4 linked regions of the Drosophila melanogaster genome follow. The protein of the gene in region 1 purifies or fractionates together with the protein of each later gene. This does not show direct contact. Each region holds a gene or a part of one and is shown in the gene's direction. Other genes may lie near its edges.

The links.
Region 2: the proteins of CG2993 (region 1) and CG16974 purify together in Drosophila melanogaster (affinity purification with mass spectrometry, with the first as the bait; one large-scale study listed by BioGRID). This does not show direct contact.
Region 3: the proteins of CG2993 (region 1) and CG3651 purify together in Drosophila melanogaster (affinity purification with mass spectrometry, with the first as the bait; one large-scale study listed by BioGRID). This does not show direct contact.
Region 4: the proteins of CG2993 (region 1) and CG7029 purify together in Drosophila melanogaster (affinity purification with mass spectrometry, with the first as the bait; one large-scale study listed by BioGRID). This does not show direct contact.

What each region holds. Positions count from the first base shown.
Region 1 is NT_033777.3:7,802,689-7,811,843, reverse strand, and holds CG2993 (uncharacterized protein), read left to right. Parts: upstream 1-1,829; 5' UTR 1,830-2,690; coding exon 2,691-2,805; intron 2,806-3,517; coding exon 3,518-3,870; intron 3,871-4,076; coding exon 4,077-4,932; intron 4,933-5,073; coding exon 5,074-5,253; coding exon of another isoform or gene 5,254-5,285; exon of another isoform or gene 5,286-5,849; intron 5,850-6,205; coding exon 6,206-6,339; 3' UTR 6,340-7,179; downstream 7,180-9,155. Other genes in the region: sgll (sugarlethal), read right to left, coding at 308-987, 1,055-1,114, 1,176-1,176; CG18268 (uncharacterized protein), read left to right, coding at 7,568-7,685, 7,796-8,563, 8,624-8,814.
Region 2 is NT_033779.5:13,188,223-13,194,618, reverse strand, and holds the start of CG16974 (uncharacterized protein), read left to right. Parts: upstream 1-2,639; 5' UTR 2,640-2,715; intron 2,716-4,862; 5' UTR 4,863-4,927; intron 4,928-5,000; 5' UTR 5,001-5,045; coding exon 5,046-6,396. Other genes in the region: Edem2 (ER degradation enhancer, mannosidase alpha-like 2), read right to left, coding at 1-54, 127-946, 1,002-1,148, 1,525-1,676.
Region 3 is NT_033779.5:22,119,526-22,127,913, forward strand, and holds CG3651 (uncharacterized protein), read left to right. Parts: upstream 1-2,314; 5' UTR 2,315-2,346; coding exon 2,347-2,655; intron 2,656-2,725; coding exon 2,726-4,156; intron 4,157-4,215; coding exon 4,216-4,503; intron 4,504-4,564; coding exon 4,565-4,691; intron 4,692-4,759; exon of another isoform or gene 4,760-5,256; coding exon 5,257-5,414; 3' UTR 5,415-7,089; downstream 7,090-8,388.
Region 4 is NT_033777.3:22,779,624-22,785,820, forward strand, and holds the start of CG7029 (uncharacterized protein), read left to right. Parts: upstream 1-2,104; 5' UTR 2,105-2,535; intron 2,536-4,843; 5' UTR 4,844-5,139; coding exon 5,140-5,800; intron 5,801-6,197.

The sequences.
Region 1 (9,155 bases):
AAAAATGCTTAGGCTACTTGTCCAACTTTTTTAAGGGCTATAAGCCATATTTTAGGATGTGATCTTAGCTAGTGTACTTTCAAATTTAAAAAGGAATTGTAATTTCACTTACACCTTATGACAATATTTAAAGGCAATCTTAAATTTGTATTTGGTAGTTAAGCTTGTACAGATGTACATAGTTGTTGGTTATGTCTTAACATTTATTTTGAAGCAGCTTTAAACGTTCCTCTATTATCCTGCGCATAACAACTTAATTTGGAAGACATTTTCAATGCATCTGTAGCTGAACTCCAGAACCCAGTGCCTAAGGAGCCAGCCGTTCGTACACCCAACCATCCTCTCCTTTGTGAACCAGTTTGCTGTCGACTTCGGATTCTACTCCTCCACCTCGTCTAAAGCGGATGCGATCGTGGAGCCGATCGGTCTGACCCTGCCAGAACTCAATGAGGTCGGGACGCACCAAGTAGCCACCCCAGTTGGGCAGCGGCACCTCGCCATCGGGACCCAGTTCTAGCTTAATTGCCGCCTCCACGTCGTCCAAGTAGCTGCGCGACGGAATCCGCTGGCTCTGCGGACTGGCAGCGGCTCCGATTTGGCTGGCTCTTGGTCGCTGGTGGAAGTACTTGAGGGAGTCTTCCACCGAGATCTTCTCAGCCACGCCCTCGATGCGGACACTTCGCCGCAAAGGGAGCCAGTAGAAGGATATGGCTACATAGGGATTGGACTTGATGTCCTCAGCCTTGCGGCTACCGTAGTTCGTGAAGAAGGTGAATCCCTCGGCGGTGGCTTCTTTAACCAGCACATAGCGATTGGAAGGCCTACCCTCCGCACTCACGGTAGCCAGGGCGGCGGCATTGGGCTCCAAGATCTCCGGGGTTTTCAGCGCCAACTCCAGCCAGTCTCGGAATACACAGAAGGGATTCTTCACCTTGATGTTATCCTCCAGGAAGGCGTCCTTGCGCTCACAGTACTTCAGACGAAGTGCTAGTTCCACAGAGTTACCAGCAGGCCATTTATTACAACATAATATTAGGTTATTAATGTTACTTACCCGAAAGTGGCACCTCCGAGGCACCTTGGCTCATCCTTCGAATTGTTTGCAGCAACTTCACTGTTTTTGTGGGGTTTACCTACTGATTATTGCCGATTTCGCAGATAAGATTTACACGTACTTATTCAAGGTCAGATATGAGCTTTTCTGCGGTACTTGAGCACCAAAACAATAACAAAACCGGTTAGAGAATTTATTGCAAAATGCAAGACTTGTTTGCGCTTAGTGTAGCCAGTCCCACCTTGTGTGATTAAAACCGCTTTTTAACGGTATTTTTTGGGTATACAAACACGGTTACTCCGTGCGCAAGTAGCAATGTTAATAGTATGTTATCTGGAAGCTGGTTAACAGAGCTAGATGGCGCTAGTGTTGTGGTACTTTTGGATTTAGCACCAGGTGTCGCCACGTGGCATTTTATGAAATCCTCAATAGGTGGCGATGAACTGTTTTGTTGCTAGATGGCACCACTGGGGAAATAGTAATTTGACAATAGATGGTGCGCTTGGGAATATGAATTTTATCGTTAGGTGTCGCCCAGAAACTAGTATTTTGTCCATAGGTGTCGCATAGGTTACCTTGCGAGTCTTAAAGAGATTTTAAATATATGCACAACTTATAATAAATATAAATATAAATATACAACTTTAAGAAGTTGTGTTTCTTGCCGGAATTCTGTTCCTTGTGGCTTGCATTTTTGAAACGCCTATAAAATTGCCTAAACGCCAAGCTCAAAAAATACTATTCGATTCGAAGTCTTGTCAACCCTGGCATTGCGAAAAATGTATACAAAAACAGACAGCGGCAGCACGTGTGCGTGACTCTCAGCTCGGTGGCTTTCTCAGGAGGGGGTTGTTGTTTTGGTGAGCCGCAGGTCCTGTCGGATCTCCCGAGCGACCCGAGTACGTATATCATACGCTCGGCTCTGGGCTTGTACCCTTGCGACATGATGACATGCGGATAGAGTAAATCCAACACGAACGGCTGCTGGACGTGTTAGCCGTGAGCTGCGAGCGAGTTAAATCGAATCGAATCGAAAGAAACCGAAAAGCTAAAAAAAGGAAGCTCAAACCAGAAATCGTTGCGACAGGCGGACGAGCGGACAGACAGACTGACAATCAGGGGGCCACATGAAAACACCAAATATAATTAATATGCCACGGCTGTGTTAATGCTGCGAATAGTTACCAATTTCCATAAGTGATTGCCCCGTCGGTTGAGTGCGTGCAGAGAAAAGTAGGTTACGGCGGAAGGAATTTTGAGGTCGGACGGTCGGTGGCTCGTGGAAAGCGTTCACAAATTCTTCGTGTGCATGTGTGTAGGCCGCTCGGTGCCGAGAAAATGCAGTGCGAGTGCCACAAAGGCGACAAAGGCAAAGAGCAAATGGCATGATGACATATAGCAAATGAACGAAACAGCCCATTTCCCAATTTCTTCAATTCATACTCTCCAGCCAGCAGGGGAAAAGTGATATTTATACATCTGTGGTCTGATTTTTGCACAGGCCACAGTAACAAACTCACACACATACACAAAGACACCACTAACACAGACGGACGAACGGTCGGACGGACAGACGGACAGACGGGCGGGGGAACAAGCGGACGCACAAACACAAACGACAACTATATAGCAATATATGCCCATTGAGTGCCTTATATCATTTGATAATAATCCACAAGGTGTCTACTATGCCGGACAGGAGCTATCCGGCGTTGTTGATCTCAGCGTCGACGCCACGAAGCGCATTAAAGGTGAGCCCCCTAACGTATACTACGAAAACGGTGTCCATGACTCACGGGGCGTATGAGTGATGCGGTCACTTGGCATTTCGGTGCGGTGTGGCGACTCGGTGCATTTAAATGCACGAAGGCCACGAGCTAATGGCAATATTAAAATGTATCTCCCCCCGGACGCCGATTCGAACGTGCTCCACTATTAATCGTTGCTCTTGGCGCCCTGCCCCCAAAAATATGTGGCTGTTGTGACTGTCACTGTGGAATATCCTGCAGTTGTTGTGCTGCTCTTGGCATGCCGCCATTTTCAGTTATCCATGAACTCGTTAAAGGCGTGGTTATTTGTTAGCTTTCCCTTTTGTGGAAATTCGTTTACACTCGCAAAATAGTCGCTCAGACTTTTGAGTTTAGACTAACTTTGAATATTTTGTACTCTTTTTAAACTATCATTTAAATATATAGGCATTGTACAACTTTATAATACATTTATTCTAAGCAAAGGCCATACCTACTGCATTTAATTTAAGCAAGTCTATTTTATAAATTTCCGTCTTGTTACACCCAAATTTTTTGACAAAAAAGATTCATTTATAGATTTAGATTATTCACATTGCCATATATCCCTACTTTAAGTAGGCCGCCTGTAAATTCGATGAGTCGCTGCTCAGCGGTCTCCACTTGCAATTCAATTTGGCAATTCTTATTCACAGCGGGTGGGGCATCCTTGCAGGCATCCACGTCACCGTCAGCGGCTATGCCAAGATACGCTGGATAAAAAAGGGATATCCGCGCGACAGCGAGCGCGCCATGTGCCGTGCCTACCGATCGTATCTGTCCTCGCGGTCCTACGTCCTCGGATCCTGCGCGAACAACTCGAGCATCGACTGGCCGGCCGGCGAGTACTCGTACACCTTCCACGTGATTCTGCCCGACAATCTGCCTACGTCCTTCGACGGCAAGTATGGCCAGATCCACTACGAGATCATAACAACGATCGAAAGGGCCGCTCGCCACCCGAAGGTCTTTAAGCTGCCATTTACCGTAATACAACCGCTGGACCTGAACGCAGATGCAATTTACAGGGTATGTGTTTATTCGACGTAGTAGGGTGATCTACAATAAAATGTTAGTATAATTTGTAGTTTGCTAACCATTTTCAACTTAAAAGTCTACATAGAGAGAACTTAAGAAATTAGTTAGGCACAGTGGTTTAATAATAATGAGCTAATAGAGTTTTTCTTACTATCATGATTGTTCTAAAGTATAACTAATCCACTGGGGTTTTCCAGGTTCCTCTGGAGATCCTCGATCGGAAACGGTTCTGGAGCTTCTGCTGCCCCACAGGCCCGCTGACGGTGAAGTTCTCGACGCCTTACTGCGGATATGCGCCCGGCCAGAAGATCCACTTCGTGCTGTACATCAACAACGAGTCCTCGATCGACATAATCGAATGCGAGGTCAAGCTGAAGCAGGAGGTGAGCTACGAGTCGCACGATCCGCAGCATGAGTACCGCTACGACAAGCACCTGATTGCGCGGAAGCAGTTCGGAAACGTGCTGAGATGGTCGAGAAAGGTGTACCGTGGGTATCTCGACCTGCCGTCGATACCGCCCACTTCGGTGAAGCCCACGTGCCCCATTAGCGTTAACTATTCGATTAAGATCATCGTGAACCCCACGGAGTTTCACTGGAAACTTAAGCTGAAGATTCCGCTGACCATCGGCAGTATACCGATCATGGATGGTCCGGAGGCCCTGTTGCGTTTCAATCGCCAGCAGCAACAGCACCAAGTAGTTAGTCAAAATTTACAAATGTCGACGCAGCAGCGTCAAAGGGATCGGGATCGTGATCGTGATATGAATGTGGATCGCGAAAGAGATCGAGATCGAGATCGGGACCGGATAAGTGCCTCAGTTCAGCAGCGACGTATCAGCAGCATCAACAACAACAACAACAATCATGGACGCCTTGTGGGCGGACTACTGCCGACCAATAGCAATATGAATATGATAACGAATGTCAGTCCCACGCCCACAAGCTCCACGCCCTCATCAACGCCAACAACTGCCGCCCTCAGGCCAACGGCCATGCCAGCGATTTTGGTGACCAGTGATAGCGATAATCCGCCGGACTATATACCCATGAGTAAGAATTATTCAGTTTGCCCACCCAAATGGAATAATTGAATGCTCAGAAACTTTTGTATTTAAATACATCAATATAGTACTATATTTATGTATATTGTTGTGCAATAAAATAGGCTCTATTAAAACTCGTTTCTTTCAGTGCCGCCATCATATGAAGACGCCATGGCTCTAAGTGAGAAGTTCAGCGATGACACTGAGTTCTTGACCAACGTTAGCATGAGCAGCATTTTGTCCGCTCAGGCTGATGTTACCACAAGTGAGCCCTTTAAGCCGCGTTATCCGGTCTATTACGATTATGAGACACCGACCATACCGCCCGGTAGTGATGATTCCAATGAATCCGACACATAAACCACCCATCAAAACAAAAAACCAAAAATTGTTTACCAAAAAAGCGAAAGCTACAAATGAAAAATGATCCAATCAATTGAATGGCTGAGTGGCTTTTTCTGTGTTCTTTTTTATTCCTTTTCCTAATAGTAGTTAGAGCATTTTCATAAATGTACTTTAATATGTTCAAGTAATGAGATCAAGTGCGCAGAGATACAATTCATTCAACTTTGTCCGCCTAAAACCAAAAAATGCAATTTAAACACTACAATTTGTACTTGTCTGATAGAAAGGATTTTGAAATCCAAAGAAAAAAACGTTGGAGTCGTAAAGTTTATTGTTGTCCTTGATCCGAGTGTCTGTTAAGCCTATCTCATTTAAAATGAATCTCATTACTTAGTTGTCAATATCATTTTAATACATTACACTTTATTCCTATTATATAAAATTGTGTATCTAAAATAATTGCACGTTTTATTCCATTACCCTTTTATATATATAAGTATACAAGATATTTTTACCAACTTAAATTAATAAAAATTGTTTTTGATTCTTAATATATATATTTTATACATTACCTTCCATAAAAACATATATTTGTTTTTTATTGTATCTAAAACGATGAACATGTATGCGCCTGAACCAAAATCATTATTAATATTAAATTATATCGAGCCGTTTTCTTCTTCTTTATTATGGCGTCTTTTAATGTTTAAGTCAAAAACATTTATCGAATACCAATTAAGAACGTTTTATAGATTTTTAAAGCTTATCTTAACTTTTTCTACTTTCCTAATATGCATTTCTCTGTTAATCCGAGCAGAAATAATTTCAAAATGTGCTTAACTTGTAAATTTATTCTCTTGTTACCGCCCCGAAACATGCTACATTTTGTACCGTCCATTCACGATCCCCTTTCCTTCGAAACCCGAAAACCGTAGAGACGCTCTACGATGAGTCCAGTTCCCGGCTGCGTCTTACACTCAGCTGCCAGGACTCGGCGGCACCGGAAACGGATGAGGATTTGGCCCCGAACACAAGAGGAGGAGAGCCCCCTTCTTGCGAAAAGAAATGAGATGTCTTTGGACTAAGCGATACGGAAAGAGCTGCATCAAATGTAAACCAATAAGCCAATAAGCGATAACACTTACATATTTAATCGAAATCAAAATACTATAGAATGGAAAATGAAACCCAGTGTGCTAACATGTAGTAGAACTTAAGTCTGGGCGCAATTTAAATTGAAGGTGGCAAATCGAGCCATTTTTTATAGAGCCAAAGCAGAATGGGATATATTTTGGAGAAGAAAGCTATTTAGGCCAAAATGAATTTGATTTATTTAACTATTTTATCCTCCCTTTCTTCTATAGTCCCTATATTTACATTTAAATTTTCTCTCTTCTCATTCTCGTTTTCCCCTTTTTAACTAACCTTATACAATTATTTTTTAAGTATTGCTAATTGTAAGCAGATTGATACTTGATACAGTGGTCGCTGGCTAAATGTATGTGAACAATGTAGTGAGAAGTTAGATGAAATCATTTAGCTCGTAATTTTAACAAAATCTGCACAATTTTACCAAACGGAGAGGGGAAATTAAGCGCGAAACTAACATTTTCCAATATTGAATATTGTATTGACTTTTTCTGTGTATCTATGAGAAATTTACAAGCAAAGATTAGCCAAATTGTGTTTAGTTTTTTATTATTTAAAATCATCACATCATCATAATCTTTAGGTGTCTAAATGAGATATTGTCGAACTAATTATATATATACAAGTGTCTCTTGCTCTAGTTTCTATACAAATTAGATTGTGTTGTCTCACTATATACTTTGTACTTCCTCTTATTTAAGCGCCAGTCTAACCAAAAATCATATAAGTCTATTTCTAAGTCTTAACTGTCTTCAATTCGATTTAATCCGATTCAATAAAGCAAAACAAGCAAAATATATTACGTATACCACAAAAGCTGTAGACACATTTACATCCTGTACACGGTATAATCAGCAAAAAATCTGAGTCGGCTTAGCTGGACCATAAAGCTAAATTTATATATTGTTATCGCTGCGGCCAAAACAGACTTCGGGCCAAATTAGCAGTAAAACAGCAGCCATTTCTCATTCAGACGACTCGTGTGGAAACAGTTTTTCAGACTTCCAACGGCTTCGGATGAAACCTCAAGTTGTCACAGTCACTTGTTTGCCGTTCGTTGGCGAGGTCACAACTAGAGTCTCAGTCGCGTGAATGCGAATTTTCAGAAAAGCACACATATATAAAAAAGCCACTCCAAACCACTGAAAATGCCAATAAATTGCGAATTTAACTTATCGCGTGCCGCTGCCATTTATTACAACGGCGAGCAAATTTCGGGATCACTCACTGTGACAGTCGACGGGAAAAAAAGTTTCAAATTAGAGGGTAAGATGCCATTAGGCAAATGAGTTGGTTTAGTGATTAGATAGGGGAGAGTGCTGCAAATAGATGGGCAATCTGATATGCTGATCGTGTTGTTGTTCCCCATTCGGCAGGCGTAAGTGTCACTCTCCACGGAGTCTCGACGGTCCACTGGCGGGAGTCACTTCGAGGTCCGCCGGAAATCGAACACAATGATAGCACCGGAAACCTGGAGTGCCCCAAAGTGGATTACAACGGCAGCAAGGTGCACATAAATGAAACGAAAAAGTTAAACGAAGTACTTCAGCTAGAGAATGGTACCTTTCGATTGGGTGACTTCAATTTTCAGCTGCCTGAAAATCTGCCAGCCACCTGTAGACTTCCTTTCGGCAATGTGGAGTATGTGCTCAAGGTTGTTCTCGAAAGACGGGGAACACATAACAAATGCTTTCAGCAGCGATTGGTGATACGAAAGTGTGTGGAACTCGCCGATCTCAAGCCCCAATATATGGAGACTGCGAACATGGGACTTACATTGCCGCGAAGTGTTTTTGTTCCGGGTCAAAGTGTAAGCTATGAAATCTGTTCCAAAGATGGAGTCCAGGACTTCCTTACGCGCTTGTGTAAAAAAATCAGCTACACTAGTCAGCAACCAAGTGCCAAAACCAAGAATGTGACACAAGTGTTGTCCGAGAGTTCGGAACTTAATGGCAATCTTCGCCTGCCTCTGACAGCCCCTATTATGAGTCACTCAGATCAGCTGGACCCTATACAAATCAGTTATTACATTGAGACATTCAACTCCTTGAATGCCCCAATCAAAGTACCCATTTTCGTGGCCACTGTTGCACCCCCCGTGAATTCCCAAACGGAATCGTCGCAACTTTGCTTCGTTAATATGGGTAAGTCCATACGCTGCCCATTAAAAGGGGCAACCAGTAATTAACTATTGTCTTCTTTAGCTCTTAGCCAGAGTGAGCTGCTGGGGCCAATTAATCAGTTTCTGGCCAACAGCTGTTCTCGGGAAATCGACGCCTTGGCGCTGAGCAAACATTGTGAACGTGAACGCATCAAGTTGCTAAAAGGCCCGAAGAGAAAAAAGTCGTACGTGCATTTAGCTTTGCAATACTTTTATAAGAAAGTACTAACCTGACACACGTGCAGAGTCTGGAATTTCAGTGCCAAGATATTGAGAATTGTAGAATTCACAATAATTGAACTTGAAATGCGATAAAGGAAAGTAAGCCAAGCAAATAACTGGATTCGATTATCGACTATTACCGACTATCAACGTACACAAAACGAAATTCTTATTTTTATTCTTCCCAATAAACTTGGGTTACGTATAGTACTAGCTAAAAATATATTTTTAAATATGCAAATATATTTCTATGTGAATTTGCCATTTTATGCAGTCCCTTTTCCCCAGGCAAATGGCTCGCTCTCATTATCGCAATTATGCATGCCAGATTAATGGAGTGAGTGCCCAAATAA
Region 2 (6,396 bases), on another chromosome or scaffold:
GATCTGGAAGTCGACGGTAAATGCTTCTGGAATGAAGGTGTGCATCTGCATGACCTGGAAATATGTTTAAATATATTTGTAAATCAAATCACATTCATTGGTGGCTTTGGAAAGGATGTTACATACCTGATAGAGCATCTCGTGTGTCTGCACAGCTGGTTTCAGATCGCCCGATAGCACCTGCAAGCCCGGCCAAAATGCCAGAAGCGAGTCCATGAAGTTTTTGGACTTAGCATGTGGCCTGTGCATGAGCACGTCGAGTAGCATGGGTCCTTCGCTGACGTACTTCATCACTGCGTTGTAGTGGCGATTAAAGCGTGCCAGGTACTTGTCGTCACCCAGTAGGACGTACGACTTGAACAGGTACTCATAGTAACTGTCGATGCCAGCTCCGACTCCAGAATCGCGACGCACCCAATCGCCCGAATGGACATTAAGTACCGTGCCCATGAGATCGGAGCCACGGTGCCTTAGCTTCCACAGTGCATCCATGGCGGCGTGAGCTCGCACCTCGAAAATGGGATCGCCGGTGAGACGCGACAGAGCAGCAAATTCCAGAAGGATGGTACCAGCACACGCCGTACACGTTTCACGGGACTTCTTGAGCATCGGGTCCTTCATGCCCAGGCGGAGATTAACCCGCGCATGCGGAATGCCCGTGGATGTGTTGAACGCCGGTAGCAAACGGTAGCCCAGCTCGCGAGACATCTCCAGCAGTTCGCCCTTGTACCAATGCATCGTGTCCGCATGCTTTTGCAGATACTCCGCCAGGATGTGCGCCGACAGCAAGCCACCGACCATTCGAATGTTCGTCTCAAACACCGACACAATAATGTCGCTGTCGAATTGAACGTCGCGGATAACTAGCTTCACCGCGTGATCAAACTCTGTGAAATCGCCCAGGAGCACCAGAGTGTCCAGAGTATCCACCAGAGTCATGGAGAAACTAAAAATAAGAACAATGTTAGTAATCCCTCCAAACCTTAGGTTTTTGAACTCACTTTCCAAGGATGTCGTCCATGTCGCCACGTGATGGCGTCACTCCTCGGTACCGTCCTTTGCAGGAGAGCGGCATAAGCTCATCAGCTGGATAGGCGTTCTGCATGTAGGCGTTGTATGCATGATAGAACATATCGCGAGCCTCTTCCCTGAAAGCAAATGGAACATATTGTATACTTGAATTTACTTTCTACATATGTGATTGTTCAGAACAACTTTTAAGCTTAAGCGTTTTAATATGACTTAATATGAAAGTCATGGATATATAATTCGTTTTTATAAGCATCACATTTAAATGTATATCCATAAATGATTAAAAACGAGTTATGCTAATTTGACCTCGTCGTTTCTGACGCATATATGGGTTACATTTAAACAAATTGCATAGATCCCTCGTAAAACCAGAGTACATTAAAATATTAATAGTGTTTCTGAAACTTTCTTAGTTTGGTAAATAAATAAAAATAAGACGTACAGAAGTTGCCCTGGTCAGGAAATACAAGGAAACGAGAAGCTGAGACTTACCGGAGTTCCGCCCGCTCCTTATTGGACATGTTCTGCGTGGGCATGGTGGTTTCGGTGCTAAGGACGCAGGCAACTACGATGCACATGGCCACCAGGAAGATGAGCATAAGCCGCTGGCCGCGGACAAAGGATTCGGAGGATGTGGTAGACATGGTGCTGGCTATCTGGAGACTACCGATGGCGGCGGCGGTGGCGTTGGAGGTTGTGCTGGTGACGGCGGATGGCTTTGTCTTTCGGCCGCCAGACTTGCCGCTCGAGTCGTTGTGACGTTGACCTTCACTTTGAACGTGTGGTGTTGAAACCAATGTTTCGATGTCTCTCTGTCCCGCTTCTTTGTTGACTCCGCTTTGGGCCCGTGGTCCGCTTGAATTGGCTCTGCAGCCTAATTGAAACAGCCAACTCATAATTAGCTTATAACTTAACAAGTAATTTTGTTCGACTGAAATTAGGCTTACCTGTGCCCGAAATGTCGACCTAATTTGTTGTTGTTTTTTTCCCGGTTTGCACGGGCACTAGAAGATCGGGTCTCTGTGGATAAAACTGGAGCGCGCTGCTTCTACGGCATCTGCAATTGCACATTCATCCTCCCAACGACCGCGACAACTGCGACACACATCGTGACTATTTATAATCTCGTTTGGAATATGTTTTCTGCTCCAATAACAAAACACCACGACGGCAAAGCGAGCGTCAGAATCGTAAGGTTACTGCGGCCAGCCGATCGGCGGGGCATTACGGCTCTCTATTATATATCCAGCTGAGTCTGTTTTTATAGTTATCCGAGCTGCTGTGCTGGCAATTATCAGATCGCTGCTTATCAACGATGAACTCAAGATTCCTTAATTTTATCACGAAAAAAAAGTGATTGCACCCTCAGTGTGACCAGCTGTGCAGCGGGCGGAAGAGAGTGGCCCTCCGCCATTAAGCTATTGTTATAAGCTAATCTTTAAAATTATTTTATTTATGCTCTATATTAGTTGAATAAGTTCATTATTCTTTTCCATTTTATAGAATAACGATAATATAAATATATTAAATTTTATCATTGCACAGCACTGGCTTTTGGTATATTTCAAACGCCTTTTCCGACTACCTTCTAATGCGTATGAGTATACTTCAACGGTTCTTTTACGGCCACACTGTAAGCCAGACGAAAAAAGACGCGAAAAGATGCAGATAATATAAACAACGGTGAGATAATAATTAAACAATATGTCATAAAAGACATATTTATTGAGTGACTAGCTTATTGGGGTAAAAAACATAGATGTTTCTTTCTATGTAGCCCAGTGAAAAGTTCAAACTTTCGACAGATGCGAGTGTGTGCGTAGCTGAAACGGCTGCTTCAGGCACAAAGGGTGAAAAAAATGCGAAACCAGAAGTTTCGGTGGCTTCATAATTACCTGGAATGAGATACTCCCGTTATTTCTCGATTTACATCCGAATCCGAGCCGCGAATCGTTGCCCTTGGCAACATCTTAAGCTGCAGCACCTTGCACATTACATGCATATGTATGTACATATGTGCTCACACACGCACACACTCACTTGAGATGAGTTTTTCCAAGGTAAAAAGGAGGCGAAAAGCGATGAATGAATTATGAGAGTGGGCGGAGCGGCGAGTAAATCTTCAATTTGGTGAACGATTCCACTTGCGGGGCAGCAGGGAATCTCGGCTAATTGGCCGTTTTACTGTCAGCCCGACTCATTAGCGGCTTTTCACATGTCACCAGGTGTTGCAAGTGTGTGCGTGTGTGCGTGTGTCTGTGTGTATGTATCGCATGTACATTATGTACCCGCACTGTATACCCAGTTAAACGGTTGTTTTGAGCTCGGATTCCATGACAGATTATGCAACCCACTCTATCTCCGTCTCTTTCGGTCTGCTCCGATTCTTTGGCTTAACGAAATTGACATTTAAATTAATGGAAAAATATACAGCTAACTGGCATATCAGCTGATTAGTCTAATTTATTGGTAGCACCACACCAATTTGGCAACTACTTTCTCGCTCTGCGAGGCAAACGTACATATGTACATACATAATTTAATTATTGTCTTAGATTCGTGGCACTTTTTTTTAGCCATATTTCTGCATGTGTATTTCGTGTTTTTTTACGTCTGTATGCTGGGCTATTTCTGTATCGGTTTTTCGTTATTTTTGTTGTTTGCATTTGTTTTGGCCAGATTTCTGCTGGTGTGTTGAATATTCGCCATCAACAGTCATATTTACTTAGCGATTCAAGCTCTTTGGGAACTGAGATTAAATGGAATACCCCTGCGACCATCCATCTTGATCACTTTTCGCAAAGTGCCGGCTTATCAGTTTTATGGGCTCATTGCTCTTATCAGCTTTGGCCCAACAGCTGGCCACCAACCGTTGTCAATATCAACAAATAGAAAAGCTTTACGCCTTCCATATTCTATATATGTGTAAATATATTCTACGTGGCATCGGGGGTCAGTCACTCGAGACATGGGCTGTATTATACAATGAATTATTTTATAGTTCTCGCGTCTTTTTATCCGAAAGCCATTGAGTAATAATCTTGGCAACTGAAGTATACCATATATTGTACGTAATTGCTTTGTTGGTGCAGGTTGTGGTTGCTGGGCGGCATTTCATTCGATATTTCTGTTTATAAACAAATGCAATCGGCGGCATTAAGGAAAATTTAAATATATGCTAACTTATAATGGCCACTTGCTGATTCACAGCGTTGCGGACTACGTTTGTTTTCCTCACCATTTATCTCAATAAAACTTGACGAGTACTTTAAGATCTCAAAAACCTTAGATTTAAAGCAATATAAAATAATTGAGCAATTTATAGCTAGATTTAATCTTTATTTGTATCAAAAACAATTACATGTTCACCTAAAGTATTCGCTTAATCTACAGACTTTTTTGTTAAGTGTTTCTATTAAAACTTCTACATTATAATAACTTTTTAGTTCCTTGCATGCCTTAAAGTTCTTAATCTTCATTGCGTGCGAATGGAAATCTGTCGTTGGAGAAGTGGGAACTTGTCCACATCCAGACAGACACTATTATAATGCATTATTAAAAGAAGAATACTACAAAAGTTCCACCTCTTTACGGTTCCAAACATTTCTGTGCGTCGCCATTTGGACGCGCAACTGGACGTCGCGTCCTCCGCCTCCTTTAGACCACCGTTTTATTTATGTTATTTACCTAACTTATTGATTTTGTCCGTTGCCCAATCCCACTTTTCCCTTCTCCCGCTGAAATGAGAGTTGCGACACATATTTTTTGGGCTCCCGAAGGGTAAAGGCGAAAATCAATAATGACCAAAAACCTGAATTGGTTTAATTTAGTGTCCAGACATCCAAAAACTTCGAGATGGCTTGTACCGTTGTACGAAAAATATAAAGTGAACATAGTTGATTATAACACAATATAAAATTAATATATTTAGCAATAAATAATATTCTGAAAACCCTCTTATCTTACAGGTGTACTATGCGACCGTACAAATATTTGAGATTACATACTGAAAAATGGAAGCAATATCGAAGATTTCCTTGATATTGTGTGCCTTGTTTGTCGGGCTCAAGGCCGCAGCGGCCATCAGTGGTGACAGCACCCACTGTCTGGCCACATACAGCAGTGCCGAGGCGTACCTGGCCCAAATCCCGCAGCAACATCGTCCACAGATCAGGCCCAGGATAAGGACCTGGCAGGAGCACGAGTTCTCACTGCTGGGCTACAAGTTCCACCTACCGTTTGTGGGCCATGCCGTCGACTCGGATCTAGATGATAGTGACAGTGATGAGGGTCTGTGGCTGGATGCGGCGGACGCCGGATCAGAGAGCGTAGAGGTGGAGGAGCATGAACTTCCTTCGGTCGGTCACGTCGATCCCACGGGCAATGTTTTTAAGCTTAACTGCGAGCATGTGGACCTGAGGCGAGTTAACCAGGAACTGCTCTCCCAGCGAAGCTCGCACATTAATTACAACCAGCTGATGCTGGCCCATGTACCTGCGGATCGCAGTAATCCCCTGAAGCTGCCACAGCTTGAAAGTCTGAGGGAATTCAGCTGGCAGAGTAGTGAACTTAAAGATGAAACGCTCATGGAGCTCTTCACCCGCCAGCCGCGCTCCTTTGAGTATATGGAACGGCTCAATCTCGCCGAGAATCGCCTGGAGTGCCTTCATTGGGCAATTCCGCTGGCCGTGCGGCGCGTGAAAGTACTTGAAATGAGCGGTAATCGACTGAGCAATTGCAGCCTGCTAAACCTGCAGTACATGAAGCAATTGCAGGAGCTGCACTTGGACAGAAGCGAACTGACCTACTTACCGCAGCGCTTCCTGGGCGAGCTGAGCGAATTGCGCATGCTGAATCTCAGCCAAAATTTGTTGACTGAGCTTCCACGAGACATATTTGTTGGAGCCCTGAAGCTTGAGCGCCTCTATCTATCCGGAAACCGGCTGAGCGTTCTGCCATTTATGCTCTTCCAAACGGCAGCCGATCTTCAAGTGCTGGACCTCAGCGACAACCGCCTGCTATCGTTTCCGGACAACTTCTTTGCCCGCAACGGCCAGCTGCGTCAGCTGCACCTGCAGCGAAATCAGCTTAAGTCCATCGGCAAGCATAGTCTGTACAGTCTGCGCGAGCTGCGTCAGTTGGACCTTAGCCAAAATTCTCTGTCCGTCATCGATCGAAAGGCGTTCGAGTCTCTGGATCACCTGCTCGCCCTGAACGTGTCCGGCAACAACCTGACCCTGCTGTCATCCATCATCTTCCAGTCGCTGCATGCCCTCAGGCAGTTGGATCTCAGCCGTAATCAGTTCAAGCAGCTGCCCAGTGGCCTGTTTCAGAGACAGCGCTCCCTGGTGCTGCTGCGCATTG
Region 3 (8,388 bases), on another chromosome or scaffold:
ACCTCTTAAAAATTATTTTTTCGATTTTTCACCTATTAAAACTAAATTTGTACATATGTATGTAATAATTGTAAGATGTGGCGCCAAAAGCACAGTTACAAAAGAACAGTTATTTACATATTTACATACATTTTCAATATTTCCATAGTGTTAATCATTCATGAATTGTAAAATCAATTTTTCTTAATCATTGAATCATTTCATGGAAAATATTTTATTCCAGAATTTTCTTGAGCTTGGAGAGTGTTGATAAACATACATAAATTTTTTTGCATATATATTTTTATGTACATATTATGTCTATATGATTGTATGTATGTTCATCATCATCATATAAGTAAGTGCTTCTATCCGCCGATCCTAAAATATGTGAATTGGCGCCACATCTTACAATTATTACATACATATGTACAAATTTAGTTTTAATAGGTGAAAAATCGAAAAAACCATTTTTAAGAGGTGGGCAAACGAAAAAAACATATTTTAAAGGGTGGGCAAACGAAATAATTTATTTTTAAAGGGTGGGCAAACGTTAAAAATGAATTTTAAAGGATGGGCAAACGAAATTATTTAGTTTTAAAAGGTGGACAATCGAAATTATTTAGTTTTAATAGTGGGCAAACGAAATAATTTATTTTTAAAGGGTGGGCAAACGTTAAAAATGAATTTTAAAGGATTGGCAAACGAAATTATTTAGTTTTAAAAGGTGGGCAATCGAAATTATTTATTTTTAAATGGTGGGCAAACGTTTTTTATTGGAAATTTTTATTTTAAAGAGGTGGGCTAACGAAATTGGTTGTATTTTAAATGTGGGCAATCGAAAAAAAAGGGTTTTTTAAAGGGTAGGCAAACGATAAAAACTGATAATAATGGTTGGGCGGGCAAAAGTTTTTTGTTGATAATATCTGGTTTTAAGAGATGGGCAAACGATTTACTCTCTGATTAGACCGAGGTAAACTTAAAAGCCTTATATTTTATAAAGTATAAATTTTTTCAAAATTCTAAAGGGTGGGCAAACGTGGGCAAACGATATTATTGCGATTTAAAAAAAAAAATTGAAAAAAGGGAAATTTTTGATTTTCGAAAATTTTCGAACTTTTTCGAAAATTTATATCTCAAAAACTGGACGTGGGCAAAAAAAACTAATTGGTGGGCAAAAATGGGCAAACGATTCCAGCTTTCAAATTTCAAAATTCGATTTTTCCGACCCCAACTTCTTTGAGCTTTCCATATTCACGGCCGAAGCTTTCGCTATTCTCAAAGCATGCCAATTCGCCTCCAAAAAGGCTGGAAAATCTGTTATATGCTGGCAGCCTCTCCTCCCTTTCCGCTACATGCAACTAGAATCACGATGACCCCACATCACAAGAAGTTCGGCACATTCTTAGTTCTCATCCAACAAAAATCACCTTACTCTGGGTTCTGGGTGCTCTAATAGACTCCAAAAAATATTTTGGGAACCTTTATGCTGTGATCCCGATGACTGCCTTTAATTCCAGGTATAAATATTTTGTAATGTAGGGACGCATTTAGGATATATCGAAAAGAATGAATATGCAAAACGAGAAGACATTTACTAATTTCAAAAGGTTGTGGCACAGTGGCAACATATGTGAAATGGAATACACCTATTGACCATATTGCTGCTTAGCCGAAGGATACAATCGATTATTCGTTTTGCTCATTTCTATCGATACTAAACCTAACTAAAATACGATAGGAAGCCTAACTTAAATGATCAAAAAATTATTTTACCATATCTTTGCCATTTCATTCAATATATTGAAAGGGTATCTGATATATGTGGAAATTCTTTTGTATTAGCTGTTAAATACGCCTATTGTCAGAGGAGTCCAGAAAAGCAATAAATTGAAAGAGATCAAAACTGGTGAATACTATTTGTCGTAAATTTAGCTCACCTGGTATATATATCATATATAATTATTTATTTATTTATTTATTATGATAGGTAGAATAGTTTACAATACTAGACTAACTTAAATAGTAAGCATAAGCTACAGCTATATTGATCTACAATGCTATTATATCTTTATCTACTTTATATCTAATTTGCTAAATATATCATATATATGCCTTTTTATCCTCTTCCGTTGCAGCGAAAACTTATTATACAAGAATAAAGAATCCGCATAATCTTTTTACTGAAACAATTAGCTTTAAATTAGTTGCCTTGCATTTTATCATTGAAATTGTTAACGTTCACGCATCAATTGGGCTGTGTGAATAGGTCGCATAATTGTTTTGGCATTAATTATTTTAAGAGGCTGTCGACGGTTTTTTTTTACCGTTATGCCATCTGGTAACACTGCCCAGGCCGCAAATGGAATGGATTTTCGAGAGCTAGATAAATTAAACTGGCGTTTGCATCTGAGTAACAATAACAATATCGTTAATTATAGTGCGAACCGACACCTCGGTCCTGATGCGGCTGAAGAGCGACGCCCGGAGCTCTTAGTCAGCCAAGTCAATTGTGGGACCGGTGTAAATACAATGGGCACAAATCAAAAACGAGCAGCAACAACATCAGCGCAGGCCGTAGCGGTGGACGAGCAGGTCGTGGGAGCCGTGGGTGGTGGCGGGGCAAAGGCAGAGGAGTGCCCTGCAGCGACCATGGCCGCAGAGGATGGTGATAAGGCAAGTGACTGCCGCTTTAAGCACAAAAAATTATGTTGATTATGTTATGTTCTGTTTATCCTTTAAAAAGGTGGAAAGTCCTTCTTACTGCGAACTGGATCTGGACGTGGCAAGCTACGGGCTAGCAGCAGCTGCCCTCTCATCCTTTGAAGCCGCCGCCTGTGGCTATAATTCCAGCCGAACTTCCATAAACAACTCAACCGAAAACCTGAGCTATGCCAGTGACAATATTTACGGCGACGATATAATTTTGCTGGACGACAACGACATGAACGCGGAGGAGATATCTATCAACTCCGACGACTGCGTCTACGCTTACCGTGGTGAAGGGGCTGATTTTGACATGAACATGGATATCATCGCCACGGGAAGGGTTGGCGGGCAACACTTCGACCTTGGCCGAGGACCAGTGAATGCTATGGGAGGCGATAGCCTCATTTACGGCGAAGATGAGACGGAGTTTCTTGAAATGGACTTTGAGCCAGACCCCTCATCAGAGTTGGAGCTTGTTGGCGGAACCACCGATATGACCATCCAGCCTCAGGCCAATTTGTTGTTAATGCAACGCGACTATAGCCAAATGAACAGCATAGGCGGAACTACTTCTACGCAGGAAGGAAAGCTGCACAGCTCGCCCATAGATGATTTTCCGCAGGAGGACCTAATGCAGCAGCAAAAGCTACGCCTTAGTAAGAAGTTCGCGCGCATCAGCTTGAATTTAGATAAAATCAAAGACGTTGGTGCTGGTGGAAGTGGCGTGGACATAGATTTAAATGAGCTAATAGTTATTGGCTCGGAAAAGCAGGCTGAATCCTCCGGAAGCTTTCGGTCAGTGAAGTCTTATCAGGCTCATTCCTTGCCCAACACATTGCACACAGGCTCAAATTTTTCGCGCAGCACTAGTGTCCCCAGCGAACACCCAGAGCCTAAGCTGACTGGTGCTAAGCCAAAGCGTTTTTTGCACACCTCGTCTGTGATGACTAAAAGCTCCTCATATAAGTCGCGGCGCTCTCATACATCAGCTAGCTTTGATGAACGTTGCTACAGCTGCACTGATTTCCGGGCAACAACATGTCAGCAGCAACAGTCAGGGTCGAAGTCAAAGCAAGATCAAGTGCCTCCTATACTGGTGGCTCCTGCGACTGTTGGGGCTTTGACCACGTCTTCTTCGTGCACGGGCCAATTTGACTTGGGAATAACCGAGGAGAACTGCTTAGACTGCCTAGAAAAGGAGTTCTTGGCCAATACCATAGGCAAAGTCGTAGACCCGGGAACATGTCCTAAGTGTCGTAGATCAGCTGGCAGTCGGGGCAGTAGTATTTCGCTTTACTCACGGTCGGACCAGGTTCGCTGTCGAAGCGGGTCCCCAGTATACTGCTATGGAGGTCCGTTCGCCGGCTGGCACAGCTTAATAGCAACCGGAATTGTTTCTGGTTCCAATTTGGGTCCACCCTGCAACCAAAGGTTTATTTCGTGTGATAATAGTTTCAACGGTCTACAGGTATGTAAACGCATGCTATAATAATTGTGTATAATGAATTTACCCGCTCTCGCGAATAGCTCCTCAATCAAGGCTATCTGACTGAGCCACTGGTGGCAAGTCTGTCTACAGGAAAGACGTGCGACGAGGAGCACCTAGTGCAAGCGCTAGATAAACTGCGCGTACCCTATGACAGGGAGCTACTTCATGGCTATTTCAAGCAATTGGCCAAGCGGCGACGGACGGAAAGTAGTGTCAATCTCAAGCAGCTATTAATACAGGCCTCAAAGCAGCAGGGAAACCATCGCAAGCTCAAACGGTTGATCGAGATGGCGACCCACCAACAGCTTATTGTACAATTTAAGGGGGTAAAATCAAATACATATTGTACACACTTTTTTAAACTAATGCAACACATTTTTCAAACAGAAAGCTGCAGACAAAACTGAATGGGTGCCTATAAATGTAAGGGACATACTTAATGCCTGGGCACGTTGTCGAGATCTTTCCCTCCTTCAGCAACTAGATGACCGCTTTCATTGCGCAAACGTGATGGGTAAGATGTTCTATAGAGTTGTTTTTTCATAGTTTGTATATAAAAGTTTTACTCGGTATTGATATATTACATATTTACATATTCAGTAAGAAAAATGTTTTCTAATCATAAAATAGAACGCTATAGTCGGCTTCGCCGATTTTAAGATACCCGTTACTCAGCTAGTAGAAATGCGATCGCGAAATTTCATAATTTTTCTGGAATATCGATAGATATACAAATATATATATATGGATTAGTAAGTATTGTTACCCCTGACACAGAGACACTAAACAAGTTCTTTTCTTTAATTGTAAACTAATGAAATTTTGCCAATATACGCAAGAGGGAAGCAATTTGACCTTAATTAGGCTAGTCCGTGAGACTACATAATTGCTACCCTAAGAACTTTAGGGAAGTCAATTAATGACGAGAGAATCTTATAGTCGATTTATTCAAATTTCAGATTTCCGTTACTTAGCCAGTGGGCGTAACAATTTTTGTAAGGTTAACGCAGAATACAAGTCATTTCAAATTGTATTAAATTGTTATTTTTTTTTACAAAATAACATTCTATTTTTTTCAGGAAAGGTTGGTCACATCGTGCGTCAGGCAACAGTAGCAGCATCCACACAAGCACAGGCATCGTCGTCAACCTCCTTTTGTAAACGCACCCTGCCCGAATATTTAATGATCCCGCAGTATTACATGAGTGGGGTACTGACTCTAACCCGCAAATGTTAGGACGTATTTGCACAACCACTCATTTATTTTCACATTAAGCCGGATACACATCATCTCTCTAGAAGTGCTTAGCCCAGTTTTATTGTTTAATTTTTTTTAATAAGTCATCTTCCATATTAAATCAGGTGATCGCATGGCCGTGACCCACCGCTTAAGTCGGGTTCAAAAGTCTCTCCGCTCTAAAAAAAAAAGAAAATAAAGAAACTCAAAGTTTAGTTGGTGTTTAAAGCTCAAAAATGTTTTCTATGTAGGCCATAATATACAGGTATCAATACAAATATATGTATCTGCCTCGCCTATCAACGCCTTATATTGTAATGTGCATATTTGTTTACGGAATACGTAATACATATGTATGTATGTACATATGTACATATACATATGTAATTATACCCGTTACTTGTAGAGTAGAAAGGTATACTAGAGTCGTTGAAACATATGTAACAGGTACATAGTTTTCCGGTCATATAAGGGAAATATATAGCATTCTCTCTTGTTTTGTTATTCGAATTTTGCATTAGATTGTTTTGCTAGCGAGTGAGCGCCATGCGTTAGAAATAATTGTGACACAGAAGCCTATTTAAAACAAACATGGCCAGCAAGGGTAACATAAGGTCACAGTTTTTTAATTGTTTGACAGCAAGAATTTTTAACGACTGCAATCCAAGTGCTTAAACTTTTCTCATAAGGCTGGCTGTGTTCTGCACGTCGTTCAAGGGCCGTGACGCAACATAATTGCTACTGCAGATTTTTGGATAATATAAATAAAAATAATATAATAAAAAACATTTTCTAACTCAACTCATCTCAGTTGATCATCATCTTCCTGAATTCTTCTTTCGTCTTCGTTGTTACCCGCCTTTCGTTTTTAATCTTACTTTAGCGTTATATATATATACATGTCTGAAAACAAAACAGTATGAGATACACACCACACATATATTGGAAAAAATATTTCTCGGATTGGTGGGCCAGCTCAAAGACAGGAAAAAGGCTCTACATTCGAATTAAGACAATCAGAATTTTATTATACTCTATGCTTTTTATAAGAAAGGGATCTTGCAAGCGGTTTATAACTACATTGAATTAGCTGATAAGTTTCTACTAAGAGTTCCCTGCGTATAGAACGACATATTTCTTGCTGGTCCAAATTTTTGTGTTGCTTTAAAACTCACAAGTTAGTTTCTAGCACGTATGAATGTCACTGTTACTTTACAACGAATCTAGTATACTCTCTCTATACGAGTCACGCGTATAGTTAGTAAGCCGGCTACTAAAAAACAAATCAAGAATTTCTGCTGTTTTAAATTTAAAATTCAATCTTCTTTAATTACTTATTTAACACTTCAACGGCCAGGAGAATGTTATTTTTCAGGTAAAAGTGTTAGTCCAACACGGACTATCGTTTTTCAGGTCGTGAACGACTTACTGGCATAAACATGTTCTGTCCAGTTGGCTATATAGCATTACCACTTACCCAAAATTTGTTGTCTTACACAATTCTGTTGGCATAAGCATATTATGTGAATCTTAACTCTTACTCTTAAGTACTGTTAGATTTACTCAATAAAATTAGTTGGAGTATTGACAAGTACGATCTTAATTTATTCCCTTCGACAGAGGTGGTCCTATATCATAACGACTTGAAGACTTGAACTGTACAGAACTGTATGCCAGGCATACTAGTAGAGCACAAACAAATGCAAACTTTTAATCCAGTCAGAACTGGCTTTTGTCTTTCACAAGGTCGACAAACGTGTAGATCCCTTGACAAAAACTCAGCTTCATTGGAAGTACCATAGCATTCTGGCGAAAAACATCAACGGAAGACCTTTCCTGCAACATATATGGCAATAAGTGGGTAGTGATCAGAACACAATGTAAATTTTAGTCTAATAGATTATGCCCTAGCTTTAAACCTTAATATATAATATAAAACTTTCCTTTTCCTATTGCACTATTTATTTAGATGTGTTATTTAGCCCTTGATAAAACGGCAATAAGTAATACTCTAAAGCTTATTCATATTCTTCATATTGATATTTATATAATATTTTATTATTTCTGAGAAATTATTTCTGCATTGAAAAATTTATGTATAACCGCAAAAATATTTTGTTAATTTTTTCGTGTTTTACCACTATATTTGCAATTGTTATAAAAATGAAGTATCCGAATACCTGGTCTAAATATAGCCAACTTACGGTAAAGCAACACTAGAATAATACCAAACTAAAATTATTTTGTTTAGTTAATTTATAAATTACTAAAATTATCATAGTGTCTTTGGTGAAATAGAGGTCCTTGGACCTAGAGCGCGGGAGAACTAAAAGTCAGCTAGATCTTTTAGCGAAAAGATCGAGACGTTTGTAACGAAGCAAGTCAACGAACTGAGACAAAGTAGTTGATGTTTCGAAAGCAGAGCGCGGTAAGTATCACATCAAAGAGCCTGGTTTCAGAGAAATCGACTTTATAAAATTTGAAAGATAAAAGGAAATTAATTATTTTTAACACCATTTAAAAATTAAATTAAATTGAAGAACATCGAACAAAGTCAATAATATTATTTTCGAACATTTTCGTCTTTAGCCTGGAAAACGAAACCGTTGGCCTACGACATAATTATATTTATAATAAACATACGAATCGAGGTAGCCTGGGCAGTCGTTATTATTCCAAGTGTACCATGGGCAAGAATAAAGTCCATGGAAACTGCAAAACTGCACTGTTGTTTCTGATAGCCGAGCAATCTTCGCACACTATGTATCATTCCAAAAATTATTCAAACATCTAAAGAGTTATTATACCCATTAATCGTAGAGTAAAAGGTGCAAGATTCGTTGTAAGTATGTATGTAACAGGCAGAAGGAAGCGTTTCCGACCATATAAAGTATATATATTCTTGATCAGGATCAATAGTCGAGTCGATCTGGCCATATCTGACTTTCCGACTGTCCGTCTGTCCGTATGAACG
Region 4 (6,197 bases), about 15 Mb from region 1:
AAAGATGTAGATACTATACTAGTTTGCTATATTCGAGGGTGGATTGTTCCATGCTAATTTGGCGAGGGCCACAATTGGATCAGCAGTTGGGGGGGGGCAAATGGATTTGTCATACTTGACTGTGGAAATCAACGGATGAGTCATCATAGTCCATGCAATTGTGGAAAAACAACTAAATTCAATTAGAGCTAAAACCGAACAATCGATATGAGAGCGAAATTCTAAAATCCACCTAAAAGTATGCCATTTAAACTTTCATTCGCCATCTGTAGATCTATTTTATAATTTTTTGCTATGTCTGGTATTCTAATTTATGGATTATGATCACGACCTGTTTTTTTCCCTTTCAAGACCCAAAAACATATGGCATCCGCTGATCTTTCGAAGCCGACAATAATTAATTAACAAATAAAAGTAGCAGAAAATCCCAAAAAAAAAGAAAAAGAAAAGCGACAAGTTTTGCGTTTGTATATATACTTTTTCGTATCTTCATGTAAACAAGCCAATTGCTGTTCATTGAAAGTGATATCTATGTACGTACATATACATATGTATCTTTTTTAGCATTCCCCGTCTGTTTGAGGTTGATTTAATCAGCAGCAGTACACCAAAACAGCTGATAATAGATAGGGGGTATATGAATATAATATATGCATTTACAGGGTGCTTGTGCTGTGAATACCGATGATGATTACTTAATGTATTCAACTCATTCATGCCCTGCCTTTGTCTACCATTCGAATCTAATGGGGGGAAATGTACATATGCGCATTTATAATGCTTTTATTGGGAAATTGGAAAATGTAGTGCGCTCCACTGACTGATGATCGCCTGTTTGTAATTGTTAATGAGCACTTGTGCATTGCTCCCGCACTTTGAACCCCCCTCGAACTGTGATTCTATGCTATAATTTTATGTGCGGTGTTCAGTTTCAAAGAGGGGCACATGTTCTGTGTTTGCTTTGCTTGCAGCACGTGCACATGCGCCGTGCCGGGAAACTTGGATCTTCATCCTGCCGGAAGAGGCGTCTTCAGGCTCTTCGAGCTCTATTTACCACCATCGTTGTGGAGGAGGGATGTTTGTTTGGCCGGACCAAGTGGGCACTTGGTTTGGTTTCCCACTTGAACGGCTTCATTAGTCGCAGAGATAAATCAAAATCTGCAGTTGATTTACTTACCAGATGGTCGGCGCTTATCGCAGTGATTTATTTGGCTGAAGAGGAAATATTACAAATAGTTTTTAGTAATTTCGAAATTGTTTTATATCTAAGAGGATCTTAATTGTGACAAGCTAAAATGATCGATGGTTTGGTATAAAAGTGAACAATGAAATACTAAATTATTATTTGAAGTCATTTCAAACTGATAAAAGCAAATAAGTTTAATAACAATCGCTCTCATTAATCAATAACAATGACTTGAACTAACTACTTGTTTGTATAATTAGTTAAGATTCAACTAGAGATTTCCATTATTCATAATGTGCCATTTGAACGGGCATTGCATTCAGTGCTTTAATGGGAGATTGCTATCAGACCTGAAGATCAAATCAATTATTAATCTTTAATCCTGTGGATTACGATTATTTTTATTGTGGAATATTCTATTCTATTTCTAATAGTAGTAGCAACATACTTAATTTTTCTAAAATGAGAATTTATCTTTACCTCTATTATATACCATTTGTAAAACCATGGATAATAAACTTCTATATCCAAAGGGTTGCACTTGCTGCGCCACAGATGGTGCTATTAGCCGTATCCATGAAGTTGTCGCTCTCGTTTTCACTTTTCGCTGGAGTCCGTGCTACATGTTTCCTTATTTTGGGGTTAACTCGGCGATGCACCACATTGTATAATGTTCCGTGCGTTGGGGTACTTCGTGCGTTTTCGGGTGCTTTTCATTCTTTTCACTCGGACTCGGATACACCCCGAAGATACTTACACTGGGAGGTGCCCTCTCACAGATACTCTCTCACACACACACGCACACACACACACATAGAGGCCTCGTCGCTTTGTAGCCGTCGCTTCGCCTCTTTTTTTCGGATTTCAGATTGTCGTTGCCGCTCGCGTATTTTCATTTTCAGTCAGTCTCCTTGGGCTGGTGCAACTGTGAAAATGTGCGGAGCGTGTCGTTTGTGAAAGCCTTGATTATTTTCCATACATATATATATCTATATGTATTTCTTATTTTTCGTTTCACATTTCGCTTAATTTGTTTACGCGCCTCGTCGTCGGTTCGTCGTTCCGTTCGTCTGGTTTGAATAATAAACTCGTAGATACTTTGTGTGACGCAGCAGCAGCAGCATCCCAATCAAAGTGGAATCACTTAAAGGGCTTTAATTGTGCGTGAGCCAATCCCCACAGAATTATCTGAAAGATACTCGTTAGATTGGCCATCTTAAGTGCATCGTCGGTAGACGAGAGTGTCTGTGTTTGTGTACTTTCTTTAATGTCTGATACGAACAAAGGAACCAAAGTTCTCTTTGACAACGAACTTTTTGGGATTATCTAATACGCAATCCGTTTTTGGGGTAATGTAATGCCAGCATTTAACAATTATTTATGAGTTTTCTGCACTCGAAAATGAGATCATCTGTAGTCGGCGTCTGTATCTAATCGGTTATCAGGTTGTCAGTTGCATTGCTACCAGTTTCAAGGCTTATCTTATCAACTAAAATTTGTTGGGCATGCCAAAAGTGTTTGTTTAAGCCAAATAAAAGCGTTCAGCAACCGGTTGATAAGCTCGATTTGCCTGTCAAAGTAGCAACTGTGTATCTGCATCTGCAAATAGCTTTGACCTTTTTGCCAAAACCAAAAGACTTCCGCGTCGATATGCACACATGCGTTTGATGATTTCGTAATTACAATCGGCACACAAAATAGAAACAACATCGACAATGCGGCTATATCTGTAACTGCATCGCCATCGTGGAAAATGCAGATGCATTTTCTTGGGCTGCCTCATTTAATTGGCGGGCATGGCGTACTCCGCCAAAAGAGTTTTCCCGCTGCCATTTTCTAGGCGCAATGTAGGCCAACAAGTACGTTGAACTAAACTAAAATGCTTGCCATCTCGAGAACAATGAGGAAAATATATATACTTGTGTTTACAAAAAAAGGGCTTGCCTATGCGACACCATAAGGGTTTGAAACTATATCTATAGGAACCAAAAAGAAAGTAGCTGAACAAATAATATATTATATAAATATTTTATAAACCAATCTTGCTATTAAACTTTTATTGATTGCAATTGCCGACATTAGAGGCCAATGTAATGTGTCATTTGCCACGCATTTCCCTTAACTTGTCCGCAATGCCAACACCTAAACAAACATTTTTGTTGGAGTTCAAAATGTGATTGAACCTGGTGGGGGGCTACACCTTGCAGCTCCAACTGGGTGAAAAAACTGTACTTTCGCATCGGCTACATGCGCTGTTTATTTTTGCCCCGGCCGCGGAAAATTGCAAGGTGCAAAGAGAAATCCAAATGAGTTGCGTGCACGAAATCGAAATGCATCTGCAATTTCCACACAATATTTTCGCAGTGCGTCGGCTTCTTACTTGCGTTCGTACCAAAAACATTATGTTTATGATTTCAAGAACTTCATGGCTCTTGGCAAATACAAGGCAGCTGGAGCGTGGCCATGGACAACTTGCCACCATGTTTATCGGAGCTGCTTAAATGCCGCTTCGATGCGAGAGCACTTTTCTTTTCCACCATGTACATATACTTGTGCGTACCACCGCCTTGTGGCAGAGTGTATGTTGGTTTGGTTCCTATGTATTTTGGCCGCTTGCCAGATGCGGCAAAGCCGTTTGGCATTTTCCGAGCCAGGTCCTTGGTGCGCCTGAGCACTCCTCAGACTTTCCCTTTCTCGATATTTGAAAAACGCAGTCCTGAGGGATTCCTTTTCGTGCGCGACGCTTTCCCCGGTGGTTGGTGGCCATTTTGCGATCCTTTGTCTGTCATCTTACACTAAGGAAAAAGAGGTTTTATATATCTCCTGCATTTATTACTACTGGCTTACCACTTTTGTAGCAATTTTGCTATTGCTATTTAGTTGCATTTCCCCTTTGTAAAATATATAAAGATATTGTATCTTTTGCTGATGTCAGGCATCAAGTATGCAGATATATCTCCTATAATCTCATTATGCCAAGCACCTGGTGGATCTAGATATTTTTCTTTGGCAAGCTCATGTGCGCTCTAGATAGATTTCAATAGCAAACATTATGACACATGCTCGCCAAAATGTCGGACGACAAGTTAATATTAATGAACTTGGCTAAGTTTCTTTTCGGCCAGTGATTTAAATTTAGACACCTGTGGCGAGCCTGGCCAAAGCTACACGGCTTCAAAAGCCCTCTGTTTAGCAAGGATGGCCATTTCCGTTTTTTGTGTCGGAAATTTGATGCCATAAATTAGGCACCTTTAGGGTTTTGGGGGCTTTGCTGCTAACGCTTTTGCTAACGAGCCACGAATGCAGTTAATTTGCGCGTCAGGAAAGGCCAAAGGAATTGCATTCCGAGTTTGGCCCAAAGCCGCAGGGGCATAAATCGATGGTGGGAACACAGCTTTTGTTTATGCCACATTGTTAGTTTGGTGGGTTAATTTTAGACGTTTTTCGTCGAAACTCCGCATTAAAGTTTAGATAGAAGAAATAACATAAAAGTCCCGAAAACCGAATGCAGAAAACTCGTAAATTATTTTTATATGCTTCTCACACCGAAAACATATCAACAGACACAAAACTTTTTGTGGGCTGAACAGTGTAGCGCATACACACAAACAATCTGTGTTATTTTTATATATAAAACTTGGTCCATGTGTCGTATAGAGAAGAGAAAACTTACGCATCAAGCATAACAACATGTATAAATAGCCATCAAAGACTACGAAGAAATCAAAATGAAAAGTGCAGCATAGAAAAGAAGAACCGAAAGGAAAAATCCAAACAAAATGTGCAACCAATCAATGGAGTTGAACCGCTTAAAAAAAAGAGCCAATAACTAAAAATACAGCAATACAGAAGCAGCGACACTGTCCCAAGAACATCTTGGCAACATCGCAGCGTTGGTCCGCAGCGGACTGGCCAAAAATAAATCGGCAGCAACATACGCCTGCAACAACTAGATGTTGTTGCTGCTGCTCGCCTTCATCATGAGATTCGTAGACATTTCCAAACGCTGTGCCGCCTGCTCCAGGGCCGGCATCGATTGCACCCACCACAGCGGCCAGAGCAATCCGCAAGCCAGCGATGCCAATGGCAACCACACGGCCTGCTGGCAACATGTCGCCGGTGGCACGAGTAACAGCAACAGCAACAGCAGCAGCACCAGCAGCGGCTGCGACAGCAACAGCTCCTCCAAGGAGAACTACTATGTGCCGCAGCAACTGCAACATCAGCGGCAAAGGGTTGCCAAGCACAGCAAACCTGGCAACATTGGCGTTAGTCCGCAACAACTGGAGCAGATACGCTTCTATCAGCGCATGCAGCAGCAGCAGTTGCAGCTGTTGCAGCAGCAGTTGCTGCAGCGTCGCCGCCTGCAACAGCAACTGCTGCAACAGGGCGTGCCTTCGCCTCCGGCAAATGCAACAACTACAACAGCGGGTCTTACCTGCAATCAACAGTATTTGCGACAGCAGCGAATGCAACAGCAACAACTGCAGCAGCAGCAACAGCAGCAGCAGCAATATGTGGACAACAACAGCAACAATGACAATAACAACTATCTGAACAACTATCTGAACAACAGCATTAACCAGCGAAACAATGGTAGAGTTTTGGGCCAAGGTGCGCTCTTGATAAGTCTTTAATTAAAACCAATACTACTTTAAGTGTCTAAGATATAAAGAAAGTTTAAGTTTAGCTTAAACCTTTCTAACTACTGAGAGATTACTGAGGTGCTTTAAGCCTAAAAGTTAAGATATAAAGTGGGTTATTTTTGTAGGAAGTCTAAACTATGACTTCTTTTCAGGTATATTATGACTCTATCATTACTTTCTTGGTGAGCATCACAATGATTAGCAATAAAGAGTAAGCAAGTTTAGCCACTGTAGTTGTGGATTAAAGTTGTTTCCTCGTAAAATCGTCACATCTTTCTCAGCTCAGCCCTGACGCAACCACTTGAGCATCTCGAGACGGGCTTTTGTAGTTTCAATTAACTTTAATTGCGATCGGAGAGGCCAGC